Ovis aries: one gene and its partners. The protein of the gene in region 1 interacts with the protein of each later gene in a pairwise test. Links are inferred from orthologs where the notes say so. Each region holds a gene or a part of one and is shown in the gene's direction. Other genes may lie near its edges. The genes, in order: CBY2, SCNM1, SYCE1, MMAB, KIFC3, CEP44 and LMO1.

Region 1 (4,238 bases):
GGTCCAGTGTCTGGGCTATTGTGTGTCACACCGACCCTGACCGGCCACGTGGACACAACCAGATGCCTGGCCAGCAGGCCCCTCATTCCCACCTGTGATGCTCAGAGAGAGACCATGAGCCTTGAAAAAGACCGTATTGTTTTGTGATGTCACCTCTGGAATGTTCTGAGTGTTTTGGTGACCAACTTCTGCACAGGACCTATACCTGGCACCTAACGTTGGTATGGCTTTTTCCTTGAGCTAGAAATAGTAATCTTAGGAAAGCTAGTAGCTAAAGACTTTCAGAAGGCTTTGTCATCAACTATATAGACCTGTCTTAATTTCTGTTCAGAGATTGATGAAGCATCTTATCAGATACCATCTTCACATTCTCGTAAGGTACATAATTAACAGGAGGGGAGAAGTGAATAGTAGGAAGTCCTGTTTTGCAGTTGAGCAGCTGAGGCTCAGACGATGGGCTGGAAAACAGAAATCTGCCTATTTTCTCTTTTCCACAGCACTCGAGGCCAAATTTTACAAGAAAAAGAGATACCAGATCTGAAAGCCTAGAAATTCCCATCAATGTGGTTCTACCTCAGGTAGGGATGAACACTGAAGGCTGTAACCTCTCAGTTTTGGCCAGAATAATCCCCCTCTTTCCAAGCTCTAGCAAGATACTGCAGGTCAGTGGTAGCCAGGGCCTCAGATTCTAGCTGAAGGTCAGCTGCCAGCCAGCTGTGTGCCAGGGGCAGTCCACTTAGTCACTTGGAGTCTTGGGTTTCCGGTCAGATGAGAGGGTGGGTTCATTGATCTGGTAAGACCATCCAGCCCGACCACTAGAAGTTTCTGTGACAATCTTTTCAAAATTAGAGCGTTTGGAGCTTCTTTACCACCAGGGGGCACTAGTGGTAAAGAAACCGCCTGCCAATGCAAAAGACGCAAGAGACCCGGGTTCGATCCCTGGGTGGGGAAGATCCCCTGGAGGAGGAAATGGCAACCCACTCCAGAATTCTTGCCTGGAGAATCCCACGGACAGAGGAGCCTAACGGGCTACAGTCCAGAGGGTTGCAGAGTCGGACACGACTGAAGCGACTTAGCACACACCCACATTGTGCACTACTCTGGACTTCTGGGTAGAGGATTAGAACTGAGACTTGGGATCAAGGGCACAGGCCCGAACCCATACACCTGGGACATGGACCGAGGGGTCTGGGCTCCTGTGGAGGGGTCAGGAGAATTAGGGCCTGCCGTGTACCAGGGACAGAGCGTAAGGGGGATGAGCCTGGGGGGGTCAGAATGGAGGCCAGCGCACGGGCGACAGGCTGGACATTCTCAGTTCTCCTTCTGCTAAGCAGCCGTTTCCCGGGAGGGGTCCTCCTGATTGGATTGTTTCTGCTGCTATGTCACAAAGGGGGCAGCCTTGCTTCTCCAGAGTCACCTAAGGCCCTGGGGGAAGATCATGGCGGTGCAACCAGAGGGGCTGAAATGTAGGGTGGAGGAATCCAACGCAGAGGTAACGATCTGAAAGCTCTGTCCAGGGATGTGTGGGGAGAGGGTTGACTCCCCAGTGGGGTCTTGGAGGCATGAAATTAGAGTTCAACCTGCTGCCTGTGCCACACACGGGCAGATGAGCGTCCAGGGTACTCTGGAGGCGCACAAGTCCTGAGTCAGGCTCCAGACCCCTGCCAGGATGGGCTGGGCACACTCTGGGGGAAGCGTGCTCAGTCGCACCCGACTCTTTGCCACCCCGTGGACTGTGGCCCCGCCAGGCTCCTCTGTCCATGGGATTCTCCAGGCAAGAGTACTGGAGTGGGTTGCCATTTCCTTCTCTCTGGGGATAAAGGGGCACCTCTGCGTTTAGATGATCTGAGCGGGCTGTGAGAGGGACCAGTGTGCCGACTGGACCTCCCCAAAGGAGAGGCTGACGGCTGGTGGCAGGGGAAGGGTTGATCTGGGTCACACGGGGAAGAAAGGAGAGTGACTGCGCACTGGATTGGTCACATCGGGGCCCTGGGCCATGCAGAGCGAGGGAGAGATTGCAAAGGACCGGGAACTGGGAACCTCAGCAAGTCCACTAGTAATGGCGGAGCTGGAGTTAGAGGCTTGAAGCCAGGTCAGTGCCCACGTCCTCTGCCACAAGCTGGGCACATGCCGCCTGCTTCTTCCCTGGCTTTTAGGACAGGGTGCCTCCCCACCCCCCATCTTAACTGCCAAGCCCCTGCACGAATCTGCCACATTCTGCTCCGTTCTGGTTCTGAGACTGAGTCCATTTGTTTTGAGAAGAAATTGCAGGAGCAGCTCTGTGTCTCCAGAAAGTGCCTCTGCACCCCCCCAGCTCCCAACCCTGCCTGAACGCTTCTCATTTGCATTGCGAATGTCTGTGATTCTCTATTTGTTATCACCCTTAGGTCTTTTCGGGTCTTATTGATTTCCAGTTTTCCTTCCTCACAGTAAATATTTGTGTTTTCTAATCTGTTTCTCTCCAGGGCATTAACTTGCCAGCCTTCCCTAGTTACTTCCTTCCCAAGTTCTCTGCACGCCGCCCCTCCACCTCCCTTGCCCCCCCCCCCCCCCTTGCCCCCCCCACCTCCCTTGCCCCCGCCCCCCCCCCATTCCTTTTCTACCTACCGGTTCTCCCCAGCACTCCCATTTTCCCAGTGAGCACTCTCTGTGAATCTCATAAAGGCACTGTTTCCTGCGAGATTGTTAATGAAGGCTCCTCACCAGGTCAGAATAGGGTCCCATCACCCCTCCAGGGCCCCGCCTTGTCCCTCTCTGTTGCCTTTTTTCAATCCCCTTTGTTTGGGTTTGTTCTTTGGAAGCTATGGAATCTGTGGCCGACAATGCCTGTAGCTCTGCCAGTTTGAAAAAGTGTTAGGAGGATTTCGGAAGATTCTGTGTTAAACAATTAGCTAAAACTACCACATACGATGAGAGAGGACATCTTTAGCCTCTTTGCTGTTAGTATTAGGATTCTATCCAAATCAATTACATTGACCTGCAAATTATCCTCTTATCTGTTAGCGTTTATTAAAACCAACATTGACTTTCTCATGGCACTTGGGAGCGGAGTTGATTTAAGCATATGCTCGTGATACTCAGCCTTGTCACCTGGTCTGAAAATTAGTGGCAGATCTGGAGAATCCTAGGGACAGAGGAGCCTGGTGGGCTGCCATCTATGGGGTTGCACAGAGTTGGACACGACTGAAGTGACTTAGCAGCAGTAGCAGCAGCAGCAGCTGCCTTTCCTTCCAGCATATTCTGGGTCTCAGCTTCCCCAGGCTTGAAACGTAACCCCAGAGGGCTGAATATTCTCTGACCATAACCCTCAGTAATGCTGGCAAAAGCAGGGCTTTAAAAACACTTGGTCAACAGACTTGGAGTCTGCTGAGGGCATTTGGACGTCTCTTCTGGTCTGTGGAAGTGCAGAGAATCTCAGTGCCTGGCAACTAAACTGGCAAGTCACTGTCCAGTTCTGTTCCCCAACGCTTCAGATGGGAGGCCAGCAACCTCAAAAGCTCCATCCCCGAAGGTCCTATTCCTTAGATACCCCTTAGCTTCAGAAAGATGCTTTGGTCTTATTACCTCCCCTCTGCCCTTAGCCCTACCCCCGTTTCTAGCCACCATCCCTCCTGTGTGGGCTCCATTTGCCACACAAAAGGCTGGTGATCTGACCGAAGCATGCAGTTGGTTATCTCATACACTTTCCTTCCAGTACCACGTGTATTTTAAAAACGGATGCTGGGGAGAAGGATGAAGAGTGAAGAGTGAAAGTGTTAGTCGCTCAGTCACGTTTGCTACTCGGCAGCCCCACGGACTGTAGCCCGCCAGGCTCCTCTGTCCATGGGATTGTCCGGGCAAGACTACTGGAGTGGGCTGCCATTCCCTTCTCCAGGGGATCTTCCGGACCCAGGGATGGAACCAGGGTCTCCTGCATTGCAGGCAGACTGAGCCACCAGGGAGGCCCAGGGCTGATGCTGAGGATGGAGCTCAGCCACAGGTGGGATTCAGGCATCTGAGCGGGAGCTCTCGGGACCCAGGGCCCTTCCTGCGTCCTTAGCACTGATGCAGCTTCTTTAGGTCACAGCCGGGAGCACTTTGCTCCCGAGAGCAGCATCTCTGGGTCACCTTCCTAACAAAGCCACGGCCACACGTCTCCCCTCCTGCTTCCTTCCTGTATCCCGTTCTTCCATGAAGAAGCCCCCCGCTTCTCCTCTCCCACCTATGAGGGCATGTCCTACATGTCAAGGAAGAAACTG
Region 2 (4,274 bases), on another chromosome or scaffold:
TGCCATTACCTTCTCTGGAATGTTTAGTCATTCTCAATTAAAATATTTCTGTGTAGTTAACAGTACAGGCTTTGGAATCAGACAGACCTGTTTCAATTTTCACGTCAACACTTATTAGTTATTTGACCTTGGTCACACTGGTTAACCAATCTAAGTCTCAGTTTCTTCATCTGTAAAAAGGGCACAATAATTATATGCTTGATAGGGATGTGAGGATCAAATGAGCTAATGGATGTAAAGTCTTTAGTACAGTGACTGGCCTAAAAAATAAATGCTGCTCCCCTCCGTTGGGATAATGGGACAGGATTTGTTCCCACCAGACAGTGCAACACTGAGATGAGGAAACAAAAAGATAAAGGTGACCAAACCTTTATCACAGTCAATTTATCACAATTAGTTAATATAAACACAATTAAGAAAATTTCAGGGGAAGTTGCCTAGAGGGCCATACATTCTCATGAGGAATAAACCTCTTCTAATTGGGTGTCTACGTCCCAATCCTGGAAGACTCACCGTCACCCCGTATTTGAGTGCTAGTCCAGCCAGGGTGTCTCCGGGCGCCAACTGATGCTCCAGGCGTCTTTCCCTCACCGGGGAGCAGGCAGACTGCACCAGGCTTCCATAAGAACGAGCCCGGCTCCCTTGAAGCAGTCCTGACCCCCCGAGGGGGGCCTGTCTAGAGGGAGAAGCCATCTCCTCACCCTGCGGACACTGAGGTTACAACCCCGGGAGGCCCGGCCAAGTGACCGATAATGACGGGCTCGCGGTCCGAGAATGGGTATCTTAGAGGATTCCTCTCTTTCAGTCTTCTCTCTTAAGTCTCCCCGCCTCCCCCGGCGATACGCGACTTGTCAGCCGTAGCTTCTCCTCCCTGCAAGTCCCCTTCCCACAAATCTGTACTCCGACTATTCAGTCCCTACCTGAGTCTTTCCTTAGCACCCCTCCGACTTTCGACTCCCCACAACAACTCGCTACGTTGACCCCTGACCTTTGAACTCTAGCAGCCTCCTTAACACGCAGCTCAATTTGCCCCTACGTCTGGCAGCCCGACCTCCAGGCTCCCCAATACCCCGACTCCGCCCGGTCCCGGGGTTAGCCCTCTAGGGTCAGGAACAGATCAGGCCCACCCTATATGGGCTGTGGTTGCAGGCGAAGGGCGTGACAATAGCCAGAGTCTGTAGCACTCTTTCTCCGTCAGAGATCCTCAAAGGTATTCTCCAAACCAAATCAGTCACACCCTCAAATTCGGGCTCCTCATCTAGGTTCTTGTCATTCCAAACGCCTCGAATCTGCCAAGACGAAAGGGCCTGGATCCAGCCCGGCGGCAAGCTCTTTGAAAAAAGACTTCATTTCCCAAAAGGCCCCGCGCCGGTGAGGTCGCAGGGCACCATAAGAAATACAGTCCCCCTCGGCCGGCTAGAAGCTGGCTTCCGGGATCGCGCAGTGCATTCGTGGAAGCACACCCCCGGAAGTCAGGGGGCCAGCAGGAAAGAGACCGGAAGGAACGGAGACGACCCACTCCTGCTACGGTGGCCTGAAAGGCGTGGCGAAGGCGGCTGGATAGAGTTTTTGATTTCTGGGGCTCACAGTCTTGATGTCTTTCAAGAGGGAAGGAGACGATTGGAGTCAGCTCAATGTGCTCAAAGTATGCGGAGAGGAGTGCTTCCGAAGCAGCTTCACCTGCCCTCTGAAAGCTGTAAAGGAGCTGTTTTGTTGCTGTGGCAACAACTGGGGGGCGGAGTGGAGGGAACCAAAAGACTAGAGGTGGTGGTGACCCCTTTTTCACCGCAGATGTGTGTTCTCCCATGGTCTTTATTCCCTTTCAGTCCTCGTCTCTATCATTTCCCTTTTATCCTTCCCTCATATCCAGCTGATCCCGTGCGGACTTCTTCCCCTGTCTCCTGCAGAAACGAAGGGTCGGGGACCTGCTTGCCAGCTACATCCCAGAGGATGAGGCGCTGATGCTACGGGATGGACGGTGAGAGCGAGGAGTGGATCAAGTTTAAGGGTTTTGAAGTTAGAGACTCAAGAACTTTTGTTATTAAGGAGGAGAGCGGGAGTATCTAGGATTCTTTGGCTGGGAGTGAGTAACAGGGATGTGGGTGATGGAGACTGGGAGACTTGGGAGTTGGGCTTTGGAAATGAATGCTTGGACGGGGTGGGACCTATGACCAAGACTCCACTCCCCAGGGACCAATTATCTTTCTTACTCCCCAGCTTTGCTTGTGCCATCTGTCCCCACCGACCCGTCCTGGACACTCTGGCCATGCTGACTGCCCACCGTGCAGGCAAAAAACATCTGTCCAGTAAGTTTGGGAAAAGACAGACAATAGAGTAAACCCTTAAAATCTCTTCAGACCACCCTTGGTGCTCTGCTTTTAATCCTCTTCCCCTTTCTCCTCAGGCCTGCAGCTTTTCTATGGCAAGAAGCCAGCAGGAAAGGGCACAGAGCAGAATCCAAGACAGCATAATGAACTCAGGAGAGAAGAGACCACAGCAGAGGTAATCAGAGAGGGGAAGTTGTGTTCCAGGCAGGACTGTGCTGCACACCTTAGGCTAAAGGACTTTGGCTTATTTCTGGCTCTGAAGGCTCTGACTCTGCTGTCTCCATGCCAGGCTCCTCTCTTAACCCAGACTCGACTTATCACTCAGAGTGCTCTGCACAGAGCTCCTCACTATAACAGTTGCTGCCGCCGGAAGTACAGGTTAGTGGGATGGGAAAGCCAGAGGTAGGGAGGGACAAGAGATAGATAGCTCTAAAGTGATTATTTTCCTAATTGTAATCTGAGACATACTAAGTGTTCTGGGGGTGTTAACTTGTATTTCAGGAAAAAGATTTTTGTAACTAAAAAAGTGCTTTGTAATCCTATTTGATTAAAAATTAGTGTATTTTAAGGGTTCTACAAAATCATAAGATAAAAAAAAAACCTTAAAAGATTTAGACTTTCCTAAATTTACTGGATTCCAGAATTCTTTTTATGCAGAACACTTACTAATATCTTGAGGAACACAAAATTGGGAAGCACTCCTATAAGGAGTTGGGAGTCACAGGAGATTAGGCCCTTTCCTTTACTGCTTTTACAGACTTCGATTCTTCTCTGTCCAGACCGGAAGCCCCTCGTCCCTCTGTCTCTCGTCCCCCTTTGCCACCCGCAGAGGCTGAACCCCAAGGTGGGAAGATCAGTAGAGAACCTGAGCCTGAGGCTGGCTCACAGACCAAGGAGTCAGCCACTGTCTCATCCCCCGCACCTATGAGCCCCACAAGAAGACGGGCCCTGGATCATTACCTCACCCTTCGAAGGTGAGTATGCAGAATTTTTCCTCAGTTTTTCCCTTTTATCTCTGACCCTCCTTGTTTCAGAGCTTCTCAAGTGTTTTTACTTATCCCCCGGGGCTTCCCAGGTGGCACAGTGGTAAAGAAGACATCTGCCAATGCAGGAGATGCAGGTTCGATTTCTGGATCAGGAAGATCCCCTGGAGGAGGGCATGGCAACCCACTCCAGTATTCTTACCTGGAGAATCCTGGCGGGCTACATTCCATAGGGTCACAGAGTCAGTTCCTCTTGAAGCAACTTAGCACACGTGCATGCATGCACAAAGACTCCTTACATATGTAACTTTTTTTTCAAATAGTTCAGGAAATTAACTACAGTTAGATAGAAAGAACTATTGGGGCTTCCCAGGAGGCTCAGCAGTAAAGAATCCTATAGTGCACAAGAGGCAGGTTCGACCCGAGTTGGGAAGATTCCCAACTGGAGAAGGAAATGGCAACCCATTCCAGTATTCTTGCCTGGGAAATCCCATGGACAGAGGAGCCTGGCAGGCTACAGTCCATGGGGTCACAGAGTTGGACATGACAGAGCACTCGCACACATGCTTTTCTTAATTTAATAAACTTCCTTTCCTGACCAGTTCTATTTTCTGGTGTTTCCAGCTCTGGATGGATCCCAGATGGACGAGGTCGATGGGTAAAAGATGAAAATGTTGAGTTTGACTCTGATGAGGAGGAACCCCCTGATCTCCCCTTGGACTGACATCCTCGTTCCCCATTCATTTCACAAATAAACTACAGCCGGCGCTGGGAGCCCAGCTTCTCCTGAGTCTGGTTCCTTGTTTCAGGATTTCAGATCTGTTCATTCTCAGCCCAGCCAATTCTTCTCTGCAAGGTACACAGCTCCCCACACTTCTGACCCCTCCCCCACCTTCTCCCACAGTCATGCCAAGCGTCAGCTGCATGCAGCCTGGTGCCCTATTAATAAGTCTGTCAGAAGGAG
Region 3 (3,935 bases), on another chromosome or scaffold:
GCTGGCATATTGAATGCAGCACTTTAACAGCATCGTCTTTTAGGATTAGAAATAGCTCAGCTGGAATTCCATCACCTCGACTCACTTTGTTGATAGCGATGCTTCCTAAGGCCCACTTGACTTCAGAATCCAGGATTTCTGGCTCTAGGTGAGTAATCACACCATCATGATTATCTGGGTCATAGAAATCTTTTTTGTATAGTTCTTCTGTGTATTCTTGTCACCTTCTTAATATCTTCTGCTTCTGTTAGGGCCATACCATTTCTGTCCTTTATCGAGCCCATCTTTGCATGAAATGTCCCCTTGGTATCTCTAATTTTCTTGAAGAGATCTCTAGTCTTTCCCATTCTGTTGTTTTCCTCTATTTCTTTGCATTGATCCCTGAGGAAGGCTTTCTTATCTCTCCTTGCTATTCTTTGGAACTCTGCATTCAGAGGGGTATATCTTTTCTATTCTCCTTTGCCTTTTGCTTCTCTTCTTTTCTCAGCTATTTGTAAAGCCTCTCAGACAACCACTTTTCCCTTTTGCATTTCTTTTTCTTGGAGATGGTCTTGATCACTGCCTCCTGTACAATGTCAGGAACCTCTGTCCACAGTTCTTCAGGCACTCTATCAGATCTAACCCCTTGAATCTATTTGTTACTTCCACTGCATAATCGTAAGGGATCCAATTGAGCTCATAGCTGAATGGTCTAGTGGTTTTCCCGACTTTCTTCAATTTAAGTCTGAATTTTGCAATAAGGGGGTGGGGAGGGCAATTTATGGCCTCCATCCAGAAAGCCAGAGTCCTTGGGTTAACTGCCAACCTCTCAACATGTGCAGAGACTCGGCTCCCCACCACCAGGTTCAGGTGCCCTCCTCGCAAGGTGGGCGACGCCACATGGGGCAGTCCCTCGTGAGACCTCTGTCATTAGCAGGTCGCCAGCTCCTCAACCAGCCAATCGCCAGCCTGGAAGATCCGTGCGCGCCCCCCACACCTGCTCTGCACGGAATCTGTTCTGGGTGGACTCAAGCGCGCGCACCGCCGCTTGCCCAACCGCCACCCCAGCTGCCGGCTGGAAGGAGGGTACGTACGGCGCAGAGGTGCACTGCGCAGGCGTGCTGAGGACGCCCCGCCCCTGGCGCGGCTTCCGTCCAATCCCAGAGGAGGCGCCGGCGCCGGCGAGCTGAGAGGACATGGCTGGGCGGCCGGGATCGTCGAGTGCGGAAGCGGCGGGAGCCGTGGGCCCGACTGACGAGGCCAGAGGTAGAGCTGGGCCTGGCGGCGGCCCCGACCACGGCTGTTGAGGGCTGGGCAGGCAGGGAGCGCACGCGGGCGCCTCTTCCTCAGAGTCGGGGCGGGCGTGAGGAAAAATGGCCATCAGCCCCATGGGAAGGATCTTGGCGGCTCTGCCGGGTGGACTCACAGAAGGCCCGTGCCCCACGTGCACTCACTTCCTTTGGCCCCATCTGCTGTGCTTGAGTAGGTTAAAGTAGGCAGAGGGCATCCTTTCAGTCTGATCCTGAGCGTCCCACAGGCATCTCCTGCAACAGAAAGGGACTTGTTCTCGGCCCGTGTCACCCGAGGGAAGGAGTCTGTCCCATTTCTCTCATCTCACAGCACCGAACCCCTGAATTTCCCTGTTGTTCCATGATGGTCCTCAACAGTAGATTCCCCCTCCCCCAAACCAGGATCCAGACCGCCCCGCAGAGCGTTACGTTTTTTTTCTTCCTGACTCTGACCTATTGAACAGTGGCTCCCACCTCACCGGGAAAGGAGAGGCATGGCAGCTCATTACAGTTATAAAGTTTTCTGAAATAACAGCCTAGCAGAGAGAAGAAAGATAAAAAATATTCCCAGGCTTGTCCACCCCCGAAGGACATGCTCCTGGGTGTTAACACAAAAGGGGAGAGAACTGTGCAAGGAACACGCATCCCTCAGCTTGCCTCTGCTCTGCGTGGCCTCCCTGTCTCCCCGTGTTGAGATGCTCTCATGAACCCGTCTTGGCCATGTCCGTCGCAGCTGCAGGCAGTAGTGCAGTTTTGGTACATGACAGGTGCTTTGTGGCTTTTCTTTAATAAATAAAATGAAGGTTTAAATACTGAAATAAACTTAGCACAGAAAGCTTGCTTGGAGCAGGGAGGAGTGGCATTCAGTAACAATCCTCAGCTAAGAACAAAAAGAAAAACAGAACAGATGTATATAGATCTCTTTTCTTAAGCACCTACTGTGTTCGCCACTGTGCTAAAGAAACCTCTTAGTATCTTTGTTTCAAGTTCATTAAGCTTGCATATTTAGATGCAGTTGACTTCACCAGTGTCTTATAACTGGTGAAACACCATTTCTTGCCTGTGGTGAGGACCAGTTTCTTGAATCTTAGATGTCCATCTGTGTCAGCAGAATGGGCAAGGGAGCTCTCTGGGGTCTCTTATAAGGTGCTAATCTCATTCATTAGGGCTCTAGCCTCATGACCTAATCACCTCCCATAGGCCCCACCCTCTGATACCATCTCATCAGACTTTAGGATGTCAACAAATGAAAAATGGAGGGACACAAACATTCATCCTACAGCAGTGAGAGAAAATGAGACATCAAGGTTCCATTCTCAGTCTACTGGGTTTTTTCTAAAAAGGGGGCAGTGGTGCTATCTAGCCCTAACGGTGGTGTAAAGATACAGACCATGTCATACTCTGACGAGAGGAAGAAAGGGTGAAGGCTTTGCAGTAGTCCTTCTGGCACAAATTTTAACATTTTAATTATCTTTTCCCCTTTTGGGTCACATTCCTATAGGATCACCCAAGACATACATAGATGCATGGATCGGATAGTGACTGGAGCTTAAATGGTGGTAGGAAAACTTGGGAAGGGAATAGCTAAATCCCATGCACACTGGGATATACCTGTGCAGTGGATTTCTAAAATGAAGAGGAAGTAGAATTAAAATACACTTAACCAAGTCAACGTTGAAAGTATTAGACATACAGATACAATATGATCTTCAAAACATTTTTATGAGAGTAAAGCAAGATAGAAAAATTGCAATACTGTGTAGTTTGCACAGAAAGATGTCTGGAGGCTGCTTTCCTAATTGATGACTCTGATGGAGGGATCTAGTTTCTGCTGCTGCTCAGTCGCTTCAGTCGTGTCCAATTCTGTGTGACCCCATAGACGGCAGCCCCCCAGGCTCCCCCATCCCCAGGATTCTCCAGGCCAGAACACTGGAGTGGGTTGCCATTTCCTTCTCCAGTGCATAAAAGTGAAAAGGGAAAGTGAAGCCACTCAGTCGTGTCCGACTCTTGGCAACCCTAAGGACTGCAGCCCACCAGGCTCCTCTGTCCATGAGCTTTTCCAGGGAAGAGTGCTGGAGTGGATTGCCATTGCCTTCTCCAATCTAGTTTCTAAGGGCAATGCAAAGGTGAAGGAACGTTTTTAACCTTAATATTTGTTTTTTTCTACTAGGACTATGTAACTGATACTTGTGGAACTTTTAATTTATAAAAGTGAAAGTAGGAGACATTTTTAAAGTACCACTTGATGATCACATGTTAATATCTCTCACTGCTAGTCTCTGTTTTAATTGTTGTACTGTTGTTACTACACAGGAGCATGTCCTTGTACTTCAGAACTTCACACTGGGGTATTTGAGGGCAATGACGAATTGTATCTGCAACTTATTCTTAAAGTTTATGATTATTAGCAAATGTAAAACTGGGGTGAATGGCATATAGAGCTGTGTGTTCTATTTCTGCAACTTTTAAGTAAATTTGAAATTTTTTAAAATAAGTAAAAAAGGGGGCTCATATAATAACATAGGCAGTGGTACCCTTGATTTTTTTTATTAACAATATATTAGTTGACTTGTTCAACAGATATATTCTGCTTTCCCACTCTGTGCCTTACCTTTTAATATGCAATAAAGAAAAAAATAAAGGTGCAGCTCACTGCCTAGTCTATTA
Region 4 (4,272 bases), on another chromosome or scaffold:
TCAGCACTTGCTGTGTGCCCCAAAAGCAGTGCGGGGCAGCAGTCAGCCTGCTGCTGCTGCTAAGTCGCTTCAGTCGTGTCCGACTCTGTGCGACCCCATAGACGGCAGGCCACCAGGCTCCCCCGTCCCTGGGATTCTCCAAGCAATAATAATAATAATTCTCCAAAAAATCTGGGTTCGAACCCACTGCTCCCCAGTGATGTCATCTTAGCTAGCCACACAGCCATCAAATAGCCACGAACCTTAAAAGTTACACAGGGACAGTAACTATTTACTTTAATGGTTTCTGAGAAAGTTAAACTAAATAACGCAAGCAAAACACTTAGCAGTGTCTGGCACACCACAGTCAGTTACTGATAGCTCGGTATTACTGACTCTGTTTTTGGTTCCAGCTTTTATTAGTACTACTATTAAAGGTAGAAATTTAAATGAAATTATGGACTGGAAAGAAATTTTTTTCCTGGGCATTTTCAGGCTGTTTCTAACGTTTCACAATTAGAAACAAGTTGCAGATAAACAGCTGTTACACCTCCCCACCCCCCTTTTTTTTTTTGCACACTTAAGTCAGGATCTCTGCAAGACAGAGTCCTAGAAAGTGACTTGCTGGGTGTGCGTGTGCACATTTTAGATTTTTATGAATAATGCAAAGCTACCCTGATGGCTCAGACGGTAAGGAATCCGCCTGAATGCAAGAGACCCGGGTTCGATCCCTGGGTCAGGAAGATCCCCCAGAGAAGGGACTGGCTACCCACTCCAGTGTTCTTCCCTGGAGAATCCCATGGATAGAGGAGCCTGGCAGGCTACAGTCCATGGGGTCGCAAAGGGTCGGACACGACTGAGCGACTTAAAAAACAGAAAAGAAAAAAACTATCTATTTAAGGCTTTACTTCAGTAGCGTGAGAGCTGAACCGAACTATGAGCTAAGTGCTACCATGACCCCAGTTCCTCAGGGAGGGAAACTCAGACTCCAAGTGAGGAGACCTACTGCTTGTCCGCGATTCAAAATCCTGTCAGTTTCCAGGTCGCCGGCTCCTGAGGACGGATTTTCAGAGCTGAGGAAACAGCCTGAGAGGCCGGGAGCCCAGTCCGGGGTCGTTCTGGGTCTCGGCCTCGGCCTTCGCGCCACCTCGCCTCGCAACCCCAACCTCTCACCTGTCGCCTCAGGTGCTTGCTCCCGAAGCTGGGCCGCTCCAAGACTCCATACCAGAGCTCGCGGGTACCCGAGGTGAGGCGGCTTCTTCCTTCCGCCAAGCCAATCAGAGCGTACGAGCCGAGAGTTCCCTTTACCAATTGGCTTGAGCATTGGCCAATAGCTGCCGTTCACCAAGTCCTCACGGATTTCCCCGCCCAAATCCTTCCCTGGACCAATGGGAAGCAAGTCCCTGGGAGTGTCCCGCCCTGGGGAGAGAGCCACGGACCAATAGAAGATGAGGCTGAGCGGTGGCGCGGCCGGCGGTAGGTGGAGTCGCCTCGAAACCTGGACGGCAAGCTGGCGGGGTCAGCCCTCGACGAGCGGCCTGGGGCATGGCTGTGTGGGGCCTGGGAGGTCGCCTTGGCTTGCGCGAGTGCCTTGGAGCCCGCAAGCTATTGTGTCCCCGTTTCCAGAGCCGTGGCCCCCAGGGCGTGGAAGACGGGGACAGGTGAGTACCTGGCTGAGAAGTTAACTCAGACACCTGACCTGAGTTGTGTTGTCGTCGCCGTGTTTACATCACACCGATGGGAGGTCACCGCAGCAATCGCCAGGTGACCTCCTCTTTAATCCTGACGTCACCATGGCAACTTGGGCTCCGGGGAAACCAGAGACCAAGATTTCTTAGCACGAGACAAGTCCAAACGAAACCCAGCATCCGTCAGGACCGGGCATAGCCCACGTGAACCAAGAGGGTCATCTTGCTTGACCTCACAATCAGTAGGGGTCCTCAGTTCGGATCTTAACCTGTCTGCAAAGCAGTCAAGACACAGAGAGACACCAGCGCGTTGTAAAGATGGCTCTCATCACATACCTTGAAACTAGCACCCCATCCTGGACCTCAAACCTGACTCACTCCAGTACTCTTGCCTGGAAAATCCCATGGGTGGAGGAGCCTGGAAGGGTGCAGTCCATGGGGTCGGGAAGAGTCGGACACTACTGAGTGACTTCCCTTTCACTTTTCACTTTCATGCATTGGAGAAGGAAATGGCAACCCACTCCAGTGTTCTTGCCTGGAGAATCCCAGGGACGGGGGAGCCTGGTAGGCTGCCGTCTTATGGGGTCGCACAGAATTGGACACGACTGAAGCGACTTAGCAGCAGCAGCAATATGTTTTATAGATCCAGTAATTCAACCTCTAATAACCTTTTAATGTCACATTTTAATGTTGAAGTCTGTATTAAAGGTGTTGCTATTTGAAAATGCCTCTTTTTGAACCCTATTTTGGCAATTCTCCATTTCAGAGTATACTTGAAGCTTCATAGTGTGAAGGGTTTTTTTTTCCCTTTCAAGAGCCCTTGGCTTGGGACTTCCCTGGTTTTCCAGTGAAAGTGAAAGTCACTCAGTTTTGTCTGACTCTTTGCGACCCCATGGACTATGCAGTCCATGGAATTCTCCAGGCCAGACTACTGGAATGGGTAGCCTTTCCCTTCTCCAAGGGATCTTCCCGACCCCATAATTGAACCCAGGTCTCCAGCATTGCAGGAGGATTCTTTACCAGTAGCTGAGACCAATCTTCCAATGCAGGGGCCCTGGGTTCCATCCCTAGATCCCACATGCTGCAACTAAAGATTCCACATGCTACGGTGAAGATGAAAGAAACCAGGTGCCCAACTAAAGATCCAGTGCATGCAAATAAATAAAAGTAAATATTTTTAAAAAAGAAAGTCCCTGGCTTGGTAGAACAGAAGTGATGCTTTGGGGTTGCCGAATAAGTCTTGGGCCAGAATCCAGCCCTACTGCTTCTTTCCTGGGTGACCTAGAAAGGTGAGTCTCATCCTGTGAGCTACAGATTCCTCAGACATAAAATGAACGTCATAGATAGTGCCTTCCTTTGGGGCTTGGGAATATTCCAAGGATAATACCAGGAGATAGTGCCAATAATTCACTTAGCACAGTGCAGAGACTAGGAAAGTGATCAATAAATTCTTTCAGCAAATATTTATTGAGTGTCTTCATTGAGCAATGTAGTACATCAGCTACTCTGCAGGTACAGGTGTGACAAGACACAGAACTGGCCCACAAAGGGCTTAAAACTAAGAGGAACAGAGGGGAGAAATTTCAAGAGATGCAAGCTGAAGGAGTGAGTTCTGACACTAAGGGTACAGGTAGCAAACTGACCCACTGAAGAAGGCGTCTCACTGGATATGCCATATATCCTCACTCAGCCTCTCTTGATGTGTATTTCTCCTTAGGCCACAGCCTTCCTCGAAGACTCCCAAGGTCCCCAAGATCTACACCAAAACAGGAGACAAAGGTAGGGTGGGGACAGGCGAAAAATGAAAAGGAAGAGATGGCAGATTCCCTCTGAAAGTTCTTCCATATTCTTTGCAGACATTAGAGTATGTGACAGATCTCAGTAGGCATCACCCAAGTGTGATGCAAATGAAAGATGCCCCAGATAAATTGAATGACAAAAGCAAGTTGCAGAACAATCCAGAGTTGGGATCCGTTGGATGAAAGTGTGTGTGTGTGTTTATATGTGTGTTCAGAAAGGCAATGGGAAAGGTTACACCTTGGACTGTTACCTGAGAGAGAGATTGAATAGTGAGAGAGAGGAATGAACAGGCAGGCTTTCATTGTTTCCCGTACATACTTTTATCCTATCCTGTTATCTTTTGTAACAAGCATATATTGTTTTGATAATTTAAAATCTGTCAGAACAGGGGACTTCCCTGGTGGTCCAGTGGCTAAGACTCTGCACTCTCAATGCAGGGGGCCTGGGTCCAATCCCTGATCAGGGAACTAGATCCCACATGCTGCAACTAAGACTCAGTGCAGCCAAATAAATCAATAAATATTGGGGGGAAAGAAGAGTATATCAAGCTTAAAAAAAAACCTCTTTAATTTTGGGAGCAAAATATTTCTCACAGGGTTTTCTAGCACCTTCACTGGAGAAAGAAGACCCAAAGATGACCAGGTGTTTGAAGCCGTGGGAACTACAGATGAATTAAGTTCAGCCATCGGGTAAGGAGGACAGGATTGACCTTGAGGTTGGGTATGAGTGGGTCATTAGCAGGTGCGACTGAGGTGCGGCCCTCCAGAGCCAGTCCTAGAGGCCGCTTGCTCTCGATGAACCTGGA
Region 5 (4,231 bases), on another chromosome or scaffold:
CTGCTGACTCTGGAATAAAATGCCGCCTCTGTTTGGGAGACAAAGAACAGAGTGGCTCCTCTGGGTCAGCTGGCTCTCCTTGGCTGGCAGGCTCCCTGCCTCCCCCAGGCTGCTTCTGGGACATCCTCTGAGGAAGGCCGTCTGGGCCTACACCAGGAGCTGCTGTCTGCTCCAAGCTGGCATTCTGAATGTGTTTTCACTGGAGATTAAAGGAATATTTTACCTTTAAAAATCCCAAACAGCTTCCCTGCTCTGCAAGACATCTATCTCTTGGTGGGGTATGAGAGGGGAACAGGGCCAGGCAGGAGCAGGGGGCAGCAGGTGGTGCCCTGGCTAGGGAGGCAACCTGGCCTGTGTGCTCCTACTAGAGCTAGTGAGAATGCACGTGTGAAAACGCGTGTGCTGATGTGTGACAGTGCATGCATGGGCACGTGTGCTCACTAAAGCGTGTGTTGTTTAGTTGCTAAGTCAAGTCTGACTCTTTTGCAATCCCATGGAGTGTAACCCGCCAGGCTCGTCTGTCCGCGGGGTTTCCCAGGCAAGAATACTGAAGTGGGTTGCCATCTCCTCCTCCAGGGGCTCTTCCTGGACCTGGGATCGAACCCAAGTCTCTTGCCTTGGCAGGTGGATTCTTCACCAGCTGAGCCACCTGGGAAGCCCATGAAAGTCTGTACTGGGGTTAGCAGCATAGGAATGTTGCTCTGTGAAATGTGAGGAAGAGTTCAAGAGTACCTGAAGAAGCATGTACAGCATTTGTGGGAAAGCAAGGGGGAAAGTCTGAACTCCGTACAGGAATGTGAGTGCACATTGGAAGTGTGTGAGAATGTGCAAGTGTGCACACATACTAGCTAGTGTGTGTGTGCTAGAAAGTTTTAGAAAAAAGTATACTACAGATTGTGAGAAACTGTGAAGCGTGGCAAGGGAGCACTTGTGAGAATTGTGTGTTAGTAGTAGTAACTAGTGTGTGCAAAAGTTTTGTACTAGGGTTTGAGGAGGTGTGGATGAGAATGTCAGTTTAAGTGCAAAGCATACACGTAGGAACGAACGTCGGGATGTGTGTGGGAACTGTGAATGTGTTCATGTGGACTCACTAGAGCGTGTGTGCAAACCTGTGAGAGCCGCGTGTATTGTATGTGAGCACGTAGGACGGCTTGTGTGCGTCTGGGGTGAGCGCGCACGTGTGCACGGGCGTGTGCGGAGCGCCGGGAGACCCAGAAGAAAGGTCTGAGCAGAGCCGGCGGCCCCGCGTGAGAGTGTGAGTCTCTGTGTGTGTGCACGCGGGAGCGCGCGCGCGTGCCGCCGCCCCCCGCCAGGGTCTGAGCCGGTTGCCATGGGAACGCGCCGCGGCCCGAGTTAATCATTTCCTGTGGAAAGTGTGCGGGAGGGGCCGGAGCGGGGCGGGAGCGGGGCGGGCCAAGGAGGCGGTGGCGTGGAGCTGCCTCCCGCCGGCGGGCCGGGCCGGGCCGAGCCCCTGGCGCTGCGGCGACGCCGGGATCCTGCCTCCGCCAGGCCGGTGAGTCCGGGGCTCGGGCGGGAAGAGGGAGGGCTGGGCGCTCGGGTTCCGCCCAGCCCGTCGTTCGGGGTGTCGCGTCCGGGATCCCCCTGCCCAATCCCGAGGTGGGGCGCGGGGAGGGCCGGGCCCGGGAGACCCAGCCCTGCGCTATCCCGCCCCCACCCCCGCCCCCCACGCTGTCCAGCCAGAGCCGATCAGAGCATGGGGGCGACATGTCCCCTGGAATGCGAGCAGCCTCGGGACCCCCTTTCCGATTTCAATGGCCCGGGAAAGCCGGAGATTGCCAGGGAACCGCGTGCCGGTCAGCGCCGCCCCCTCCCCGGGCCGAAGTCCCCGGGTCCGCAAGGCTCCCTCGAACGCTGCAGTTTCGAGCCCTCCCACCGCGTAGGTCCTCTGGGCAGTTGGCTTTCCCCTTCGCAGGGCCGGGATGGGGTGGGCTAGCGGCAGGTTAGGAACGAGGGCCTGGGCCGGCGTCCCCCTGGGCAGTGGGGAAATTGAGCCTTTGACAGCTGCAGCCTGGTGGGGAGGGGTTCCCAGCTGGGAGGGCCAGCCCGAAGCCACCTCTGTCAGCCCCCTGTTGTGAGTTAGAGCGGAACTCTGGCGCAGTGAAGGGCCTGGTCCTGGCAGATTTTAAAGAGGAAGCTGTATTTAAATTCTCAAGTACCATTTGTCATCAGCACCCCCCCCCCCCACACACACACACATTTGTCTCAAGGTTGGGGGTCCTGGCCACACCTGCCCTTTCGCCTTCTCTGGCTTTCTGTCCTCCTGAGGCTGAGCCAGCAACTCTGCTGGCCCAGGCTGTTCCCTGTGCCCTTGATAAAAGTAGCCGTCTCCTTGGCCAAAGAGTCATTTGTGAGGAATGCAGTCTGAGAATGGGGCCCTGTATTTGCAGTGACTGGACTTAAGGGATGTGGGGGTAATGCGTTCTGCTTTCCCTCTGGGCACCAAGGGACAGAGGCTTTGAAATCTGGGTTGACCTGCAAAACCTAGGATGTGTGACTGCTCAGGGGAGGTCCAGCCCCTGTCCACCCTCCCAGACCTTCTGCCCCCTCTCTCAGGGAGACGAAGACTATGTTTCCCCAAGCAGTGGTCTCTGGGCAGTTGTCAAGTCTATTCCCCAATCATTGCAGCAACCCTGGTCTGGGGGAAGAGGGCTGCACCTCTGCCACCCTGGCCTAAACCTGGAGAGGCTGATGGGGCTCTCCTGCAGCCTGCCCCTGCGTTCACCCACCGCTGGATATAGGTCACTGAAACATTAAATTTGCGGGGGGGAGGGGCAGGGTTCTTTGTATATGTCAGTATTGTTCTTAATGTTGTGTATATGTGTCATCCAAACTTTACATCAACCCTATTAAGGTAGAGTTCTCCCATTTCAAAGATGGAGATACTGGGGCTTAGAGACAAAGTCATTCTCCCAGGGTTGCACATCTACTAAGTGGTGCAGCCGGGCTCTGAACTAGCTTTTGGTCATAACCACGCTGTGCCCCCATCACCCCGTCCTAAGACCTAGGTTTTTGTGTCTCCAGTCTTGGGCTGTTTGAAAGTCCTTGATGCTTTTGACTCTCACATCTGACAGTCTGCTAATTCAGCTACTTTTTCCTCTCCAGGATCTTGCACACACCCTTCCTCTTTCTTCCTGATATCTTCCTGCCTCCCAACTTCCCTTCCTGAAAGCCAGGAAATAATGTGTCCTTCTGTCCCTGCCCCTCAGGCTTAGCTGACCTCCTTAAAAGTCTTCTCAGGGCTTCCCTGATGGCTCAGCGCATATAGAATCTGCCTGCAATGCAGGAGACACAGGTTCGATCCCTGGGTTGGGATGAGCCCTGGGTAGGGATGATCCCCTGGAGAAGGAAATGGTAACCCACTCCAGTATTCTTGCCTGGAGAATTCCCACGGACAGAGGAGCCTGGCGGGCTACAGTCCAAAGGGTCTCAGAGTCCAACACAACTAAGCACAGAGCACATGAAGGTCTCCCTCAACCATGGAATCGACCTTCAGTGCCCTTTGCCATCTCACCTTCCAGCAGCTCAGCATGCAGGTGGAGCCCGTCTCACTCCCTCCTTCTTTACCCACTGGGCAGCTGATCCTCAGGGCAGATTGTGTGCCCAGCTCTTTGCTGAGTAGCCTGGAGAAGGGGACGTCTGGCTACATCTCCCAGTTCCCTCCACTCCACACTCGTCCATCTCCATTTCCTCAGCGGAGCTACCCACAGGCAGCATTAATGTCCACTCTGCCCTTTGGCCAGCAGTCCTGACCCCTGCCAGGGAGAGGGCACCCAGGAGATTCCTCCTCCAAGGTGTCTTCCTTAATCAAGGAAGGTAGAGGCCAGGACTCTCTAGCCAAGAGCCTGGCATTCTTCCAGGGCTCAGCTCTGCCAACCTCAGGCCACCCATCCTTGGGGTCTTCCTTCTCTTGCCTCTCAATGCTTCAGTTGTTCCTGTTCCTCTATTGACCCAGCATGTGCAGATCTCTCCTGTTCTAAATTCCACATCCTCTCCTTCCCATCCTAGCCAACTTCTCCAAAGAGAAGGAAGTGGCAGCTTCCTCTGGCCACCCCCACCCCACCTTAGACTTTCCCAGGTCTGCCCTCTGTTCTGCTCCATTGACCTTTCTTCCAATTGGATCTCTCCGTGGCATGGTTCCCTGGTAATTGACCATCCCCTCCTTCTCACTCCCGGTCACCTCTGAGGACTCTTCACCTGTCTGTTGCTTCAG
Region 6 (3,500 bases), on another chromosome or scaffold:
AGATTGGATGGATTTATTCATACAGAATGAATGACACATAACTGAAGAGAAAGACATACTTGTCTAGGCTAGAAGAATTAGCATAATCTAACAAGGTAGATTCCAAATGCACCTGATGTCAGGGGAAGATCGTAAACTGGTCAGCCTTGTTAGCAGTGATACCTTTTCCAGTCCTGGTATCCTCATCTGTAACTTAGAATTCATAGTATTTTTCTCTTGGGGGTTTATGATAAAGAGTAAGTGAGGTGATATGAGAATATTTGCAAAACCATAAAGCCTAGTGGCGTACTCTAAGGAGGTACATTTGCTGTATTGGTAGGAGAAAATAGACTAGATCAAGTAAGGCCAGTCTTTGGAAAATCAATAAATACTGTGATAAACAGACTGTTGGTATTGATGCTGAAGAGTTTTTGTTTCATAGTAATTTGGCTGCACTGGTTTAGAGTAGGGGGTGGAATCTGAAGGGTCTCGTGCATCCCCTAATTATTATGGCTGTTGTGTTAAATTATGAGTTTTTAACAGCTTTTCATTGTGGAATTAAGCATATTAAAAATCTTTTTTCTCTTTTTTCCATACAGTTTGGTAAAGGGAGATACAGCAGCCTCTCTGCCCATCATCAGCTATTCCCTTACCTCATACTCACCCTATGTAGCAGAACTTCTGGTCGACTCCAATGTTGAGCTCCTAGCAAAGAATGACTTACGCTTCATAGATACTGTCTATAAGGTATTTTGAGTTTATGAAACAATAATTCTTTTAGAAGTCATTGAATGATTTTTTTAGATCAATATTTTTATAACTCCTTACATATATAGTTGATAGTATTTTCGTATGTATTTATCTTATGTAAATGAAGTCTCTGTTACAATCAAGATGCAATTTGTTTGCTTTTATGTTTCATACTCTAATAAATATGATGACTGGTAAACATTTATCATTGATTATCATTTGTCTATTTTATGTCTGTTTTTAGTAAAGTTTGGTATACTGGCAGAAGTTAGAGTGAATGTAGTTTTATTAAGTAAAATTTGTGGTTCATAGAATTGTGAGTTAATTTATTAATTTAGTTGTTTGTAAGAAGGAACTGCAACTTATATTAGAACAACTTGTGTTCCTTGAGATCTGAAACCGTGTCTTATTATCTACTTTGGCATCTACACTTGTACTACATGTATCCTGGACTTAATCTCTGTTTGATTTTTCAAAGCCCTACTTTGTATCATTAATTTTATTTATGTACTGTGATTTATGTAACCTTAAAAAAATAGTAAAAGCCAATTTATCAAATCAAATTGCTTTTTTTTTCTTTTTTAAGTAAAGAGTTTGATGAGAGGGTAGCTTTTATATGTAGTCTCTGTTTAATCTTCCCTTTCTTTGCTTCTTACCTCAGAAAGCATCCATGGCAGCCTAAAAGGACTTCTAGGAAATCTGAGGTTACACAGAAGAGATTTTGGAAATTACTCTTTTAATCTGTTTCTTTCATTTTACACATGAGAAATTGAAACTGAGTAGCCTACTGACTTGTCTAAAAATTGTCATAATTTCTATAAACAAAGAGAACTATGGTTTTCTGATACCTGGTATTAGCAAGCAAAGGAGTTTTTCTAGTTCCTATGAGAATATTTGAAGCTTTTGATGATTATCTTTTCCATCTTTCTGGATAGCTATCTGGTACATTCCTAGCTACCTGTTTTCTACCTGTTTCCTACTTGATCCGATCTCAGCGCCCCTACAAATCTCTTTAGTGCCCTTTCTATAGTGGCTTAATCCTCTCCCATCTCTTAAAAATGGTAGTACATCCCTGGTCACTTACCATTTTAGATTTTTGAAAGAAATTGCTCCCAACCATTATGCTGGTCTATTATTTCCTCTTTACAGCTTCTTCGTGATCAATTTAATTATAAACCAATCTTGACAAAAAAGCAGTTTATCCAGTGTGGATTTGCAGAATGGAAAATCCAAATTATATGTGATATTTTGAATTGCGTGATGAAAAAGCACAAGGAGTTGAGTAGTCTTGAGAAGGTAATTTTATTAATAGATTTTTAACTTATGTTAAGTGGCTATATTTTAATATATAAAATCAATACCTAGTCAGCAAATTAATGCACAGTACAATTACTGTGCTACTCACAGATTTGAGTGGCCTTACAATGCCAGATGTTTGCTTTAAATACAAGTCATTTGTTTTGACACATTTGTGACTTGAAGCTACTAGTCCTAAACTAATATAACAAACTAACATAATGCATTTTCATCACTTTGTAGTTTTCAAAAAACATGTGGTCTCAGACTTGCAGTATTTGGCAGTCAAATTTCATGAAAATTTAAATGATAGAGGAATTTAATATATATATGCTACCTTCCCACATAGTTTAGAAAGAAAGAAAGAAAGAAAGAAAGAAAGAAAGTGAAGTTGCTCAGTCATGTCCAACTCTTTGCAACCCCATGGACTGTAGCCTAACAGGCTCCTCCCTCCATGGGATTCTCCAGGCAAGAGTACTGAAGTGGGTTGCCGTTTCCTTCTCCAGGGGATCTTCCCGACCCAGGGATCAAACCCGGGTCTCCTGCATTCCAGGCAGACGCTTTAAAATCTGAGCCACCAGGGAAGCACATAGTTTATGAAATCTTAATACCTTTTTTTTTCAGACTCCATCACAACAAAGAAAAAAGACCAGTTCTGCCAAGTCAGAACCTTGTTCAAGTGCTGAGAAGACATCTACTGAACCTGTGGGCATTGATGTCACTGGCAGATATGTGACTTCAGGAAAGGTGGGACAGTACAAAGACAGTGTGTCGCGTTAAGAATTACCTGCCTGACTGATCCAACACACAAGGTTCACTTTTCTGCCTAACATCTAGAAAAACATTCTATTCAAACAGTAGAGTGTAAGGATTTTTCACAATACATATCGTGTATTTTCTGGGAACATTCCTAAAGTTAGAAGAAGAGGGTAGAAATGTACAGTTGAACATGTTTTCTCTTTATATTTCTAATCCCAAATTCTGCCTCTTGTGATGGTGAAAATTTACTCTTAATTATGTATCTAATCTTCCTAAAGGCCTTCGCTTTAGTTCTAGGTCTGGATTTATATACATTTATATTTTTGTACCAGGAATATAGGTTAGCCAATGGTTGATAGTCCTTAAATCTGTAATCTGGTTTGGGGATGGTGTTCTGAATATTTTCTATTCGTTGGCCGATACTTTCCCTGTCCTTGTCTGCTTCAAGAAGCTGTGGCTGAATGAGTTCAATGCATTTAGGGATAGTTTTTCTATCTCCAAGGGAAAATGAAACCATAATATTATTTTATAATGGTGAATATGCTTTCAGCTGTCTTCCGCATGGGGCAAACCCATCGAGACTGAAGGATAGACTATCAGACAAATAATCAATGTGTCATTAGATATAGGATTTGAGTATATTTGAGTAAGATTCAGGGAGTTATTTTTCCCCAATTCATAATATGAGTTATATTATGAGTAAAGTATAAATAAAT
Region 7 (3,974 bases), on another chromosome or scaffold:
CCTGGAACTCTGTACTGTCAAAAGAGAAAAAAAAAGCCCTTGATATTGAAGAGTGGCCTTCCTGGAGAGAAGGCAGCCTGGGCACCAGCCCCAGGGTGCTCAGAGAGAAGCAGGGTTCAGAAGGAGAGGAGATGAACACTGTATCTCTTCCTGCCTCCGGCGTTACTAAGCAAGAATCATCAATTCTGTAATGGTAGGAATCTGTTTTCACTGCTGTATCCCCATGTGCCTTAGAATAGAGCTTGGTGTATAATATGTGCTCAATAAATAGTTGTGGAATGAAAATAATAACCTTCAAGGCCATGCTGTGCTTGCTTAGATAGAAGCTGAGACAGGATCTCATTCTCTGTGAAATCAAGATGCTCTTCTGAGGGCCTGCTGGAGTAAGGGTGGTGATGGAAGACTCAACAGTGAGAAAATCTGTGCCCTGCAGAGGGTTAACTTTGCCAAACAATCCAGGAAGCAACCAGGAACCCCAGAGAGAGGAGGTAGGAAGGGAGGGTACGTGGTCAGAGAAAGAGTGCCCCTTGGGAGGGGTCCAAAATCAAGGCTGAGGGGACTGAGAGACAGGAGTAGTCCACCAGATAGTGATTGGGAATGAGGACCCTGGGGCCTGAGCAGAGCCACGCGCCGAGTTGAGGCCTAGAGGCCTCCAGGTGGCGCTGCGGAGCCGGGCAGCCGCGCGTCTCCACTCCCCATTAACTCGCGAGGGAGGGGGGCCTCGGGAAATGTGTGCATTTATTCAGTAGCAGGAGTGCAAACCTCATACATTGAGGGAGAAAGGCAGCGGGAGACGGCCGCCGAGATTCCCCCATCTCTTTGAATATAATTTTAGATTGAGATTCAGATTAAATCCGAGGGGAAAACACTTTATGAGGCTGAAAGCTGTGTCGTTGCCAGAGCCAGGGTTATGAGCTATCAAATGCAATTACATTAAGACAGATTATACTGGGCAAATTGAGCCATTTAGAAGGTGAGAATCAAAGAAACGGCTCTGATCCTCTCTTCCCACTTCTCGCTCCCTCTCCCTCTCCCTCTCCAAATTGCAGTTCGTAGTTCCTTGCAATTCTGAGGCACAAAAGTAGGTGAGACTGCTTTTGTATCTGCGAAGTGCTTCACTTCTGAATGTAATTCTAGCTGAGTGCAATCTAGGTTAAGAGCCGGACAAGCGGGTAATTAGAGTCCGCTCGCTGCCCGAGGACCGGCCGCCCCGCCGAAGCGCGCCCGGAATCGGCGCCCTTCTCCCGGCCGAGTCGAGCTGCGGCTGGACACGGAGCGCCCGAGATGATGGTGCTGGACAAGGAGGACGGTAGGTGGCGGGCGGGGGTCCCAATGCCCCGCGCCCCTGCGCCCCCGCCACGGCGCGCGGGAACACACACGCCGGGACACGGGCGCGCACACGCCGGGCTGTGCTGGGCTGGCGGTCCCCAAGGGGCTTGGGACTGGGGTGGGGAGGCAAGGGAGCTCTGGGCTGCGCCCCCCCGGGGCCGGGCCAGGCCGAACCGGACCACGGGCGGGCGAGCTGTGCTCCGGCCGTGTGATGCTCTGCGGGGCCGCGTGGAGGCTCTGGCTGCCCCCGGATCTCGGCGCGGAGGCGGTTCGCGTAGAGCGTTTCGTCTTTGCGGCTGCTCCTCTCACCGCAGCCATCACCCTCGCGCCGCACGCGTAACCCGAGAGTCGCAGAGCGCCGAGCAAATCAGTGGCTTCGGGAAATCGGACTCCAGAGCTTGCGGCCGGCTGGCGCGCAGAAAGAAGGTGGCCACCGCGGTGCCCGTCAGGCCAGGGGGAAAGCCGGCCGGACCTTCGGGGACACAGCTGCCCGAAAGCTCGTTGAGATAAAGGGACGCCTCCTGTGCTGCCCACTGTCTCCCTGCGGGCTCTTGAGCTCGGAGGCAGGAGTTTGGCCCAGAGGAAGAAAGTGTCCCGCTCCTGGCCAGTAGCACGCGTGCCGGAGCCACCAGGACCTACCCTGATCAAGAGCTTCACTGCGCCTGAGAGGTCAGAACAGCGGGGCCCGCGGTGGCTAGAAGCCACTAGCAGGGGGTCTCACACACCCAAAGCCTTCCTGACTGTGACTGTCCCGCAGTAATTGTCCTGGTATGTGCAGGAGAGGTCGGAGAACCCAGCCCCCTTGAGGGTAAAACCAGTGGGTGTCCTGTGACCCAGGGGCAGCCCTCGGGGTCGGGAGATTGGCCCTGCCCTGGAGGTGAGGGTTACCTGGTGGGTTAGTGTTGTCGGGAGACATGAATGTAATTGTTAGCACCCAGGCCCCAGCTGCGTTGTACTGCTGGTGAGGACCTGAGAAGAGGGGTTTCCTGTGAGTCAGCCGGAGTCCTCTTTGAGTGACATCAGCTGACCTCTCCCAGTGAGTATGGAGGTCTGTGCCCTCTGCCCTCCAGGTCGGTGGTGTTCCTGACCTGGTCACTTGGTGGAAATCTGAAGTTAAGTGACTTAAGGTCGCACAGGATGTTCGCTTTGCTGCCACTGTGTGCCGATGCCCCTAGCCTCCCTTCCACCCACTGAGACCTCAGGCAGGAAGAGCCATTTAAAATATCTGGCCCAGGGGTGGCATGTTGGGGAGCTCTGTGGCTGGTCAGCCCATTTCTGGGCATGTGTGTAGAAAGAGAGGGAGGAGGGCTAAATGCTCAGGCCAAAAGAATCCATTTGCCAGGGTTTGACTAGGGTGAGACACCCACTTCCTGTGTGTTGTTCTTTCTTTGTGGGCCCCTCCCCTGGAGCCCCAGGTGGGCCATTAGAGGGCTGGGCTGGTGCAGGTGTGTACAAATTGGAAAGGAGAAGAGGTCTGGGGTGAGGCCAGACAAGGAAGAAGGAGTCCTTGCTTTAGTTCCTTTCTCATCGACTCCCCGTGTTATCTTGGACCAGTCGTGCCCATCTCAAGACCTCACTTTTCCTCTTGGTAAAGTGAGGAGCCAGGGCAGCCAGGTCCTTCCTTGGTGTTTGGAGGTGCTCCCACCATGGGGAGCATGTGAAAATTGGGGTATGTCTTCAGCCCAGATTGTTTGGCACTGACTCCCTAGGCCCAAGCCAGAAATCCAGAAGACCCAGGCCCTGTACACAGGTGGCCTCAAGCAGGAAGACTGGCTTCCAGCTGACAAGATAACACTGCCACCAGCACCAGCTCTTGTACCCTGTGCAGGCACCCCAGAATGCCTCGACTCTGTGTACTAAAGGTTTCTAGATGAGCCCTAAATGGAAATGGTTCTTTGGAGGTCATATCAGCCAGTCTCCTGCCTACCCACCCTGGTATATGTGTTTCCCTTAGTGTTCCCCAGACCTGTAGAGAAGAGCTGGCTCTGCCCTAAGGTCCCCAGCCTGCCCAGTCTTAACGATGTGGTGCCCAGTAGTGCTGAGATCACTGAGCTCTGGGACCCCTCACAGCACAAGGAAGAAGACTGGCTTAAGTCCTGAGGAGTCATTTGATTCGTGTCCTGAGCATGTCTTTCAAAAGCAGCCTTTTTGCTCATAAATCCACCCTCCATTCCCTGTTGGAGTCTAGCATCTCCTGGTTCCAGGAAACCTTGAAGGTGGTACCTTCAGCTAGATGGAGGGAGAAAGGCTCTAGACCCATTCACATCCTCACCTCCCCCCCACCCCAAACCTGCTGCCTAATTCCTTCCTCACACTTAATGCTCTCCCAGCAGGTGGCCGTCTGGGCTGGGTGGCAGCAGTGGTCCCCAGGGCCCCGAGGAGTGTGTTCCTCCCGGCTGTGGACTGCACCCTTTGTCTGGCTGCAGCGGGGAACTCAGGCTCCTATTAACCACCCCCAACGCCTTTTCTCCACCTGACAGCATCTTGTGGGAAGAAGCCCAGGCTCCTCTGGTTGAAGTCAGGTCTGCCAGCTGCCGAGGACCAAAGCTCTTGCTCTGCTGGGCTGCAGGGCTTTCATGTTGCACTTCTGAAAGATAATAAAATATCAATCGCTTTGCCGTAGCAACGGGTTTAAGAGACTTTCT

Evidence for each region.
Region 2: the proteins of CBY2 (region 1) and SCNM1 interact in binary tests that used the Homo sapiens proteins (3 or more experiments, as listed by UniProt). The two-hybrid records come from large-scale screens. The link is inferred for Ovis aries from reciprocal best matches to the Homo sapiens genes CBY2 and SCNM1.
Region 3: the proteins of CBY2 (region 1) and SYCE1 interact in binary tests that used the Homo sapiens proteins (3 or more experiments, as listed by UniProt). The two-hybrid records come from large-scale screens. The link is inferred for Ovis aries from reciprocal best matches to the Homo sapiens genes CBY2 and SYCE1.
Region 4: the proteins of CBY2 (region 1) and MMAB interact in binary tests that used the Homo sapiens proteins (3 or more experiments, as listed by UniProt). The two-hybrid records come from large-scale screens. The link is inferred for Ovis aries from reciprocal best matches to the Homo sapiens genes CBY2 and MMAB.
Region 5: the proteins of CBY2 (region 1) and KIFC3 interact in binary tests that used the Homo sapiens proteins (3 or more experiments, as listed by UniProt). The two-hybrid records come from large-scale screens. The link is inferred for Ovis aries from reciprocal best matches to the Homo sapiens genes CBY2 and KIFC3.
Region 6: the proteins of CBY2 (region 1) and CEP44 interact in binary tests that used the Homo sapiens proteins (3 or more experiments, as listed by UniProt). The two-hybrid records come from large-scale screens. The link is inferred for Ovis aries from reciprocal best matches to the Homo sapiens genes CBY2 and CEP44.
Region 7: the proteins of CBY2 (region 1) and LMO1 interact in binary tests that used the Homo sapiens proteins (3 or more experiments, as listed by UniProt). The two-hybrid records come from large-scale screens. The link is inferred for Ovis aries from reciprocal best matches to the Homo sapiens genes CBY2 and LMO1.

Annotation. Positions count from the first base shown.
Region 1 is NC_056063.1:16,145,755-16,149,992, forward strand, and holds the start of CBY2 (protein chibby homolog 2), read left to right. Parts: upstream 1-1,438; coding exon 1,439-1,492; intron 1,493-4,238.
Region 2 is NC_056054.1:101,063,636-101,067,909, forward strand, and holds SCNM1 (sodium channel modifier 1), read left to right. Parts: upstream 1-1,474; 5' UTR 1,475-1,594; coding exon 1,595-1,696; intron 1,697-1,870; exon of another isoform or gene 1,871-1,907; coding exon 1,908-1,978; intron 1,979-2,217; coding exon 2,218-2,306; intron 2,307-2,404; coding exon 2,405-2,502; intron 2,503-2,616; coding exon 2,617-2,705; intron 2,706-3,106; coding exon 3,107-3,301; intron 3,302-3,934; coding exon 3,935-4,034; 3' UTR 4,035-4,089; downstream 4,090-4,274. Other genes in the region: LYSMD1 (lysM and putative peptidoglycan-binding domain-containing protein 1), read right to left, coding at 514-693. UniProt on the Homo sapiens protein: As a component of the minor spliceosome, involved in the splicing of U12-type introns in pre-mRNAs. Plays a role in the regulation of primary cilia length and Hedgehog signaling.
Region 3 is NC_056075.1:51,476,078-51,480,012, reverse strand, and holds the start of SYCE1 (synaptonemal complex central element protein 1), read left to right. Parts: upstream 1-1,135; 5' UTR 1,136-1,175; coding exon 1,176-1,245; intron 1,246-3,935. UniProt on the Homo sapiens protein: Major component of the transverse central element of synaptonemal complexes (SCS), formed between homologous chromosomes during meiotic prophase. Requires SYCP1 in order to be incorporated into the central element.
Region 4 is NC_056070.1:63,770,031-63,774,302, forward strand, and holds the start of MMAB (corrinoid adenosyltransferase MMAB), read left to right. Parts: upstream 1-1,472; 5' UTR 1,473-1,524; coding exon 1,525-1,640; intron 1,641-3,384; coding exon 3,385-3,446; intron 3,447-4,062; coding exon 4,063-4,156; intron 4,157-4,272. UniProt on the Homo sapiens protein: Converts cob(I)alamin to adenosylcobalamin (adenosylcob(III)alamin), a coenzyme for methylmalonyl-CoA mutase, therefore participates in the final step of the vitamin B12 conversion.
Region 5 is NC_056067.1:25,344,597-25,348,827, reverse strand, and holds the start of KIFC3 (kinesin-like protein KIFC3), read left to right. Parts: upstream 1-1,431; 5' UTR 1,432-1,714; coding exon of another isoform or gene 1,715-1,725; coding exon 1,726-1,897; intron 1,898-4,231. UniProt on the Homo sapiens protein: Minus-end microtubule-dependent motor protein. Involved in apically targeted transport. Required for zonula adherens maintenance.
Region 6 is NC_056055.1:106,518,428-106,521,927, reverse strand, and holds part of CEP44 (centrosomal protein of 44 kDa), read left to right. Parts: intron 1-578; coding exon 579-726; intron 727-1,878; coding exon 1,879-2,025; intron 2,026-2,649; coding exon 2,650-2,772; intron 2,773-3,500. UniProt on the Homo sapiens protein: Centriole-enriched microtubule-binding protein involved in centriole biogenesis. In collaboration with CEP295 and POC1B, is required for the centriole-to-centrosome conversion by ensuring the formation of bona fide centriole wall.
Region 7 is NC_056068.1:43,996,652-44,000,625, forward strand, and holds the start of LMO1 (rhombotin-1), read left to right. Parts: upstream 1-1,174; 5' UTR 1,175-1,284; coding exon 1,285-1,309; intron 1,310-3,974. UniProt on the Homo sapiens protein: May be involved in gene regulation within neural lineage cells potentially by direct DNA binding or by binding to other transcription factors.